2 linked regions of the Mus musculus genome follow. The protein of the gene in region 1 interacts with the protein of each later gene in a pairwise test. Links are inferred from orthologs where the notes say so. Each region holds a gene or a part of one and is shown on either strand. Other genes may lie near its edges. The genes, in order: Trim69 and Fkbp1b.

Evidence for each region.
Region 2: the proteins of Trim69 (region 1) and Fkbp1b interact in binary tests that used the Homo sapiens proteins (3 or more experiments, as listed by UniProt). The two-hybrid records come from large-scale screens. The link is inferred for Mus musculus from reciprocal best matches to the Homo sapiens genes TRIM69 and FKBP1B.

Annotation. Positions count from the first base shown.
Region 1 is NC_000068.7:122,170,405-122,174,220, forward strand, and holds part of Trim69 (E3 ubiquitin-protein ligase TRIM69), read left to right. Parts: intron 1-2,741; exon of another isoform or gene 2,742-2,749; coding exon 2,750-2,983; intron 2,984-3,816.
Region 2 is NC_000078.6:4,838,601-4,842,901, forward strand, and holds the start of Fkbp1b (peptidyl-prolyl cis-trans isomerase FKBP1B), read right to left. Parts: upstream 2,974-4,301; 5' UTR 2,836-2,973; coding exon 2,799-2,835; intron 2,641-2,798; exon of another isoform or gene 2,486-2,640; intron 1-2,485. UniProt on the Homo sapiens protein: Has the potential to contribute to the immunosuppressive and toxic effects of FK506 and rapamycin. PPIases accelerate the folding of proteins. It catalyzes the cis-trans isomerization of proline imidic peptide bonds in oligopeptides.

The sequences.
Region 1 (3,816 bases):
CAGGTACCACTGAACAAATAATCTGATTTTCAGATTATTATATCCCCCCATCTGATTTATCTTTCTAAACTGCTTCCAAAGTTCACAGAGCTGTTGCTTATATATGCCTGCCTACTGTAGACTTCACAGGAGCACCCCCACCCAAAAAAGGGCACTAATTAGTAAATATTAGATAAATCAGTCTGTAGGCTGGGAGTTAATGGGAAGTTCTGATCCTTCATTAATTACTCTATGTAAGAGAGCCATCTTTGGCATTTGGTACCTGGAAAAATACATATCCCCAGGGAAAGAAAGACAGACAGAGTTACTGAAGCATCCAGGTAATTTTGTTCTATTTTGTAGTTCAGCTACTATAGTCAATATTTGTTCATTCAACAAATACTTATTGAATGGGTCAATGGGAGACAGTTGTTAAATGATGCCAGCAATACCAATAAATAACAATAGCTACTATTACCATATGATAGGAAAATTCAGCAATGAAGAGAAATCTAAGAGAACCTGAAGAAGTCACTTGAGCTGGAGATGTACTCAGTTGGTGGAATGCTTGCCTAACAGGCATGAGACCCTGAGTTATACAGCCAGTATCACATAAACTGGGCACAATGGCACACACCTGTAATTTCAGCACTCAGATGGTAGAAGGAGGATCAGAAGTTCAAGTCATCTTTGACTTCATATCTAATTTTAGGATAGCCTGGGATACATGAGATCCACTACCAAAAAAAAATTTTTTTTGAGGACTGTAGGATCAGTAAGTTAATCAAATGAACTGTGTGAGGGAATATGAAAGAAGGGTCCTGGAGAAGAGTGTAGAAGGGCGAGAGAAAGCTACATGGAAAAGTCTAGAAACAGGATGTTAGAAAAAGTCCAATAAAGCTAGAGCACACCAAGCGAGATAATACTAAAGAGGCAGAAATGACCCAATCATGCAGGTCCTTATATGGAAGAAATGAAGTATTTTTAACTTGATCCTGTGACATGAAAAATAAAGATCTGTAAGCACTACATAGTTTCATCTCGTTTTGAAAATGCCTGATGGCTGTGTGGAAAATGGCTTAGAGAGACAATGATAAGACCACGTGGTTCGAAAACTCTTACAGGTCAAGAACAAAGGTACTTGATTAGCCTAAAGAGGCAGTGTATATACAGAGATAAACAAGAACATGTGGTGTGGGGAGGAAATTATATAGATATGGTGACGGATTAAATATGAGGAATGGATAGCGATATCAGATAGCATTTGGATTTAGAAGTCTGGAGCTCAAAAGCTGTGGGAAAGCTGTCAGCACTAGGTAGTATCTAATATATAGTAAGGGTGGGGGATATTGGTTAGAAAGTGTAGAATAAGCTTAGGACAGAACACCAACTAATTTTAATATTTAAAACTTGTTTAGAGAAAGGAGAACCAATTAGACTGGGGAATCATGGGAAAGGTGAAAGGGAAACTGGAAACACATGGGTTGGAAGAATGATGGAGGTCAGGCTACCTTAAGAGGTGGTGATGGACCGGGCAGTGGTGGTGCATACCTTTAATCCCAGCACTAGGGAGGCAGAGGAAGGCGGATTTCTGAGTTTGAGGCCAGCCTGGTCTACAGAGTGAGTTCCAGGACAGCCAGGACTACACAGAGAAACCCTGTCTTGAAAACAAAACAAAACAAAACAAAACAAAACAAAACAAAACAAAACAAAACAAAACAAAAAGAGTGTGGTGATGGTTGTCCATGGGATCTAAGCTACGTAAGACAAGCCGTGAAGATAGACGTGTAAACAGAAACAGAGAGTCAAAGATTATAAACTGATTAGTTTCTTGAAACAGGGTCCATCTCTCCATGTAGTTCTGGCAGCCCTGGAACTTACTTTGTAAACCAGGCTAGTCTCAAACTCATATAGATCAGCCTGCCTGTGTCTGCCAAGTGCTGGGATTAGAGCCAAGCACCACCATGCTCAGGCTGAACACAAACTTTGATTGAGATTCAACAGTGCTGCAGTAGGGAGCAAGTGAACTTGGAACAAAAAAGTTGTTTTGGAAATGATGCATTTTGGGAGGATGATGAAATTCTATGTGTGGTTGAAAATGAGGCACAGGCACAGGCACAGGCACAGGCACAGGCACAGGCACAGGCACAGGCACAGGCACAGGCGCACAGGCACAGGCGCACAGGCACAGGCACAGGCACAGGCACAGGCACAGGCACAGGCACAGGCACAGGCACAGGCACAGGCACAGGCACAGGCACACTCACACACAAGCTGCAAGTGCAGCAACTTTCAATTTTAGTGCTTTGTACATTGTTCATATACTGTTTCTTTTATGTGGTCCTGGCAAAAGGAGTAGTTTTGATTTTAACAGGATAGGTCTCCCTAGTCTAACAGCATCAATTGGTAGATACTAATTTGTCAGCCTAGGAAAGTATTGTTAGTATTTGTTTTAGAATGTTTGATTGACTCCACATCATTATTTAAGAGAGCACAGTTTATCATCTAATCACCAAAAAAAAAAAAAAAAACCAAAAAAACAAAAACAAAAACAAACCAACAATTGAAAACAAAGCCTCTCATCCTACACCATTAAACTAGTTGGGAAAGAAGGAATGAACCTCCCAAAGGGCTTTGTGTACTAGGATTGAATGTCGATGCTAGGCAGCCATTTGTGTGAAATTCCCCAAGGTGTGTGGTGTGGTGTAAGTCCCTCTCCCCAAATGCTAGTCTCAGTAGTAATCGTGGTGATGATTATGGAGGTTTCCAGGACAACAAGATACAACTGCAACAAAACCTTTCCTTGGAGTTTCTAAAGCTACATCAGTTTCTGCACAACAAAGAAAAGGACATTCTAAATGACCTCCGGGATGAGGGGAAACTCTTGAATGAGGAGATGGAGGTGAATCTGAACCAGATTCAGGAGCAGTGTCTTGTTGCCAAAGACATGCTGGCGACCATTCAGGCACGGATGGAACAGCAGAACTCCTTCGACTTCCTCACAGTGAGATTCTGAATCCAATTGATTATGGGGACACTTGGAAGGAGGGAAGAGAAACTGGGAGTGGGGGGTGGAAGGAAAGCAAATCATAACCAAGCTCAACCCAACCCAACCATGTCCTAACCTACCCAACCCAACCCAATTTAACCCAACCCAACCCGACTAACTGGAGCGCTTGTAGGTCCTTGGGGAGAAAAAGGAAGCCATGTTTACTTTATGATCAGTGGAAATTTTTACTTTCATCTTCCTTCAAAACGTGATAGGACAATTTCACTAATAATGCTACATGGATCAGTTCTTTCTTACTTCCCCATATAGACCACAGAAGCTTTATTTTTCAAAAAATATGTCTCTTATAGTGTTTGTAGAGTTTGGGCCTTGCAGAAATTATAAACTGAAATATATCTAAAAAGCTTTTTGTCAAACTTTTGCTACCTGAAGTCTCACTTCTAGAGATCAGATGATTGGCGATCACTCCAGCACTCAGAAGTCTAGTTACCCTTCCCCCTCAGATCGTTTCTGATCTTTTCTTGGCGGAGTATTTGGAAGCACTCACTTCTCAAAGAGTTGATCTTAACTATGGGCTTCCTGGCTCTTCTCTTGTTTCCTATGAGAGCTGGAATTATAGAAAATCAGAAGGTTACCATGTGAGAGGTCAGTTTATGCTGGGTTAGCCTGGGATGCTGCTTAGCAAAGTCTGTAGAGGATGAAATGTTGTTGGCGATGGCCTGAGGACCATCTGTACAGGAAGCCAGTATTGATGATCAAACCTGGATGGCTTTCAGTATAACCAGAGAAGTTCCTAGAGATGATGAACAGGCATCTGACTTCTCTAT
Region 2 (4,301 bases), on another chromosome or scaffold:
GCCTACTGTGTGTCAGATGACCAGAGACAGAGAGTAATATATGAACCCGTGAAGAAGAGAAGCACAAACCTAAATCTCAGATTGCTATAGAGTCATGATTACATCAAAGATGAATATCATTAACAAGAAATCAATAATGACCAGGCCTGTGCCCTCATATCAGAGATACATCGGAGAACAATAAAGACAGGAGCCCTGCTCTTCTAGGGTCTACCTTCTTTCTTTTGTGTACATGGGATGGTCATGTGGGGTGCAATGGAGTGGGGTGTGTGTGTGTGTATGTCACACCTAGCTTTTTTGGATGAGTGAGGAGATTCAGGCTCAAGTCTTCATGCATAGCTAGAGCTCTTAGCCACTGAGCCATTTCTCTGGTTTACATTCTAATGGAAGGAGACAATGCTCACATAAATATGATCATTACAGATGGTGATAAATCCTTTAAAGAAAATGAACACTGATGAATTTCAGAGAGACACAGAGAGCTGGCAATTTCAGAAAGGGTGAGCCAGGAAGGCATTTTGAAGAAGATGAGGTTTGAGCTGCTGCTTAAGAAGGAACCAACTCAAAAGACCATGAAGCAGGAAAAGATTGGTGCACTTTCAGAATAGGAAGGAAGAGGGTGAGATGGAGGAGAGGAACATGACAGTGATGCACCACGCAGCGTGCAGAGATGGGTCCCATACTAAATGCAATTGGAAACCACTGATGGGTTTAAAAGCATGGAAATGACCTAATCTGAATTAAGATTTTATAAGATCACTCTAGCTCCCGAGTGTGGGATGGATGGTTAGACATCTGTTGCTATAGTCTAGACAAGAAATCAATGGTTGCATGAATTAGCAGAGAAGAGAGTGAAATAGATTAGAGATACGTTTTGGAAGCAGGGCTGACAAGGGCATGCAAGTGGATGAGAGGAAGGAGCCCACTCCCCATCTCACCATTGAATGGTGGGAAAGGATTAGGGTTTGGGTAACCGGAAGGTGGTAGAGCTGTTCTGAGAGATGAGAAAACTGGAAAGGAACAGATTTGTGAGGGTGGCAATCTTGAGCTGCCCATTAGACATGCAAGTTTTTACTGCACAGAGGCAGATGCAGAGCCAACCCTGGATAAACAAACTGGGTGGAATAGAAAGCTATGAGACTGGATTAGGAGCTTGGGAACATAACAACACAGTCAGCGGTTAGTGGACTGTAGGAGCCTACCAAAGGAAGCCAGAGAAAGCCCCACAGAAAACAGTTAAATTGGCTGTTAAAAGATGGGTGGGCGTCTGTCTGGAGAAGTAAAGGGACCTGGGAAATAGAATTAGTTGTAAGACATGCTCGAAACCTGGAATCCAGAGTTGGGATGTAGCTCATGTACAGCAGGTGCCTAGCAAGCACAAGGGTTCCACCAGGAAACACACAAATCCTTAGGGTCCTAGAGTCCAGTCACAGTGAGAGCCCATTGGTTCCATCCTGTAACCCTAGGTCCAGCACACAGTGTACACGTTCCATAAATATCTGCTAAATGAGTGGTTTGTTTAACAACTCACAAGTGGCTTGGTGAAGTTGGTTGTGGATGCATGGATAGTAAGTATCGAAAGAGGAAGTGCCAGTGTGGATCCCTCCCGCCCTAGCAATCACCAAGAGGGCAGCTGCTTGCAGAAGTAGGGGGAAGAGTCTTTTAATGATTTTCTTCCTGAGGGAGGGGCCCTTAAAGCTCTGCATTTTAGGGGACCTGTGAGAAAAATGAGGGGACTGAGAACGGAAGTCAAATGGAAGGCGGGGAGAACGAAGATGGGGAGACAGCTCAGAGGCTGTGTGGGTGACAAGGCCTGGGAAGAAACGTGTATCTGCAAGGAGTGATCTGGGCAGTATCGGGTACTTCCAGGAAGCCCTCGGTTTGTAACCAAGAAGCCCTTTAACTCCCTGCGAAGGAGCATGCCAATAATATCCAACAGCAAGTTTGCTTGTTAAACACTCTGGACCTTGGGGGTGGCTTTTGGTCTGGATTAAATTTTGCTTAAGAAATAGCTACTCCTTGAATATGTTGAATACACCCAGTTTTCTAAATAGTTGAGGAAACTTGGTGAGACAGGGAACCCAGAGATAGATAGACTGGGAGGAGGGGGTGGGGTGGGGCGATGAACCAAATTATGGAACGCGAGTTGTTTTGACCTGGCTGACCCGGCACCATGGACCCCCCAGGAGGATCAAGCAGCAGGTCCGAAGGCTGGGTTTTGACTGAGGAGGGCATGGTAGAGGGCAGATGACCAGGAAGGGTGAGTAGGACCGGGAGGGTGAAATAGGAAGCAGAAGCAGCCAAAGGAGTGGCAGGCTCCCAAATTGGCTCTCTCCACAACTAACCACTGCCCAGCCCTGGGGGCCTCCAGACAAGAGGGGCGGGGAGGTGTGGTGCAATAGGAGGGGTTTCTCTGTACAGCAGGAACCCCCAAAGCGAGATCATCCCTGGAACCGAACAGGAAAAACGGAACAGAAATTCAAACCTGGGAAGTCAGTAGCAGCGGTTAATCGAGAGGTTGCAGCTCAGGAGATAGCAGCCGCAGCCTAGGACAGTGGCTGGACATAACCCCCTTGCCCTAAGGTGGCCGCCTTCACTCCCCAAGGTGAGCGGGCGCAGAATGGGATGGTGCGTTGTCCTCTGAAACCCACAAGAATCGGGGAAGGAGGTCTCCTCCTGTCGCCCGCATCTTTGACCCTCTCCCCGCTTCAGGTCCCCGGAGCCACCTCGGAATCAGATCCCAGCCCGCGGACTCCGCCCCGGGACCCCTCCTCCTCCCGGGCCCAGCCGCCCGGTACCGTCTCCTGGGGAGATGGTCTCGATCTCCACGCCCATCACGGTCCCACAGGCCCCGCCTCCAAGGGGGTCCTCGCGGCTGCCCCGACCCCGGCTCCGCTCTGGCGCGGACCCCGCAGGCACTCCCGCTCGCCTTCTTGCCGCCACTGCAGAGCCGGAGGAGGTGCGGCTGGAGTCAGGACCTGCGCGGGGAGGGGCCGCCGGGAAGGGGGCGGCGGGGTGGAGCTGTGCGACAAGGTGGGGTCGGCCGGGGCGGAGCCCGAGGGAAGCGACCCTGACGTGGCTGCTCCGGATCCTGGCCAGACTAACCACCATTAACCCACTGGCTGAAAGGGGAGGCAGGGTGAGCGAGGCGTGCCGGCACTAGCACATCCACACATCTATCCACTCAGTGTATATTTATTTAGCACCTACAGGGTGCAAAGCCCCAGGGAGTCCACTCAATCCTACAGACTAGGAGAAAGTCGGTAATTAAACTAACTCTTTAAATACGTGTGCTCAGTGCCGTGGGGTTCAGAGTAAAACGGAAGCACCCGAGACTGATACCTACCCGGGTTAGGCTTCCCGAATCTATTGGAGCAGAGCCGGCGAAGGGAAGAAACCAATTATTGACGAATTTTCCTCAACCACCTTAAGACCACATTCATCATTCCTCAAAGTTTTACAGCAGGTATATGTATTGGAGGTCTCACCTTTCAAGGTAAAGGACTGCTCCCTGGGGATTCCAACTGAATTAAAGGAGGATCAGCTCTGTGCTGAAGATACAGCGACAGCCTGAATGGTGAATGCTATAGAAGGAATGAATGAATTCTTTTACCTCTACCCAAACCAAACCAGGATCTAAAAAGATACTTTTGTCCTTCCCCAATCCGAATTCCGCTTCCTTGGTCCTGGGACTTGAATCCAGGGAAGCCAGGGCCTGTTCACTCACGCTAAGCTAACAGAGGTTACGTCCATGGCCCCTAGGAAGATACATTGGGAGGAGAAAACATTTGCTTGAAGGCTGAAGGAGACTTTAAGAAATGCCCCCCACCCCCATCTTTTCTACACCCGTTGCACAGATCTGAATTTGTTTCTGACAAGAGCCAATGGGAGGTGAGTATGGGAGAAGGACCTATTTATTCAAAGGCCCAGAACTGGAACTTGACGCATTTTCCTCAGTTTCTCCATCTCCACTCTTCCAAGTGGCTAGCTCGCAGATACTAGCTTGCCAGGATACAAGGACTAAAGTTGGTGCTCAGAAAAGCTGGTTTACGGTACTGTGCACGTTAGGATCAGAAAAAAACCCGTGTGTGTGCCCTAGAGTCGTCAGGGCTTAAGGCAAACAAACAAACAAAAAAGCTTAAGACACCCCACCCTCCAACCCTGACCCTCACCCCCCTACTGGTTATGGCCTTGGGCAGGTACTTTGAGATCGGGGTAGAACAGATCTGCTACTTGGGCAGGCCTACGAGGCTGGCTTCAGGTAAACGGATGTATTTACATTTTGGGAGTGATATTTTATG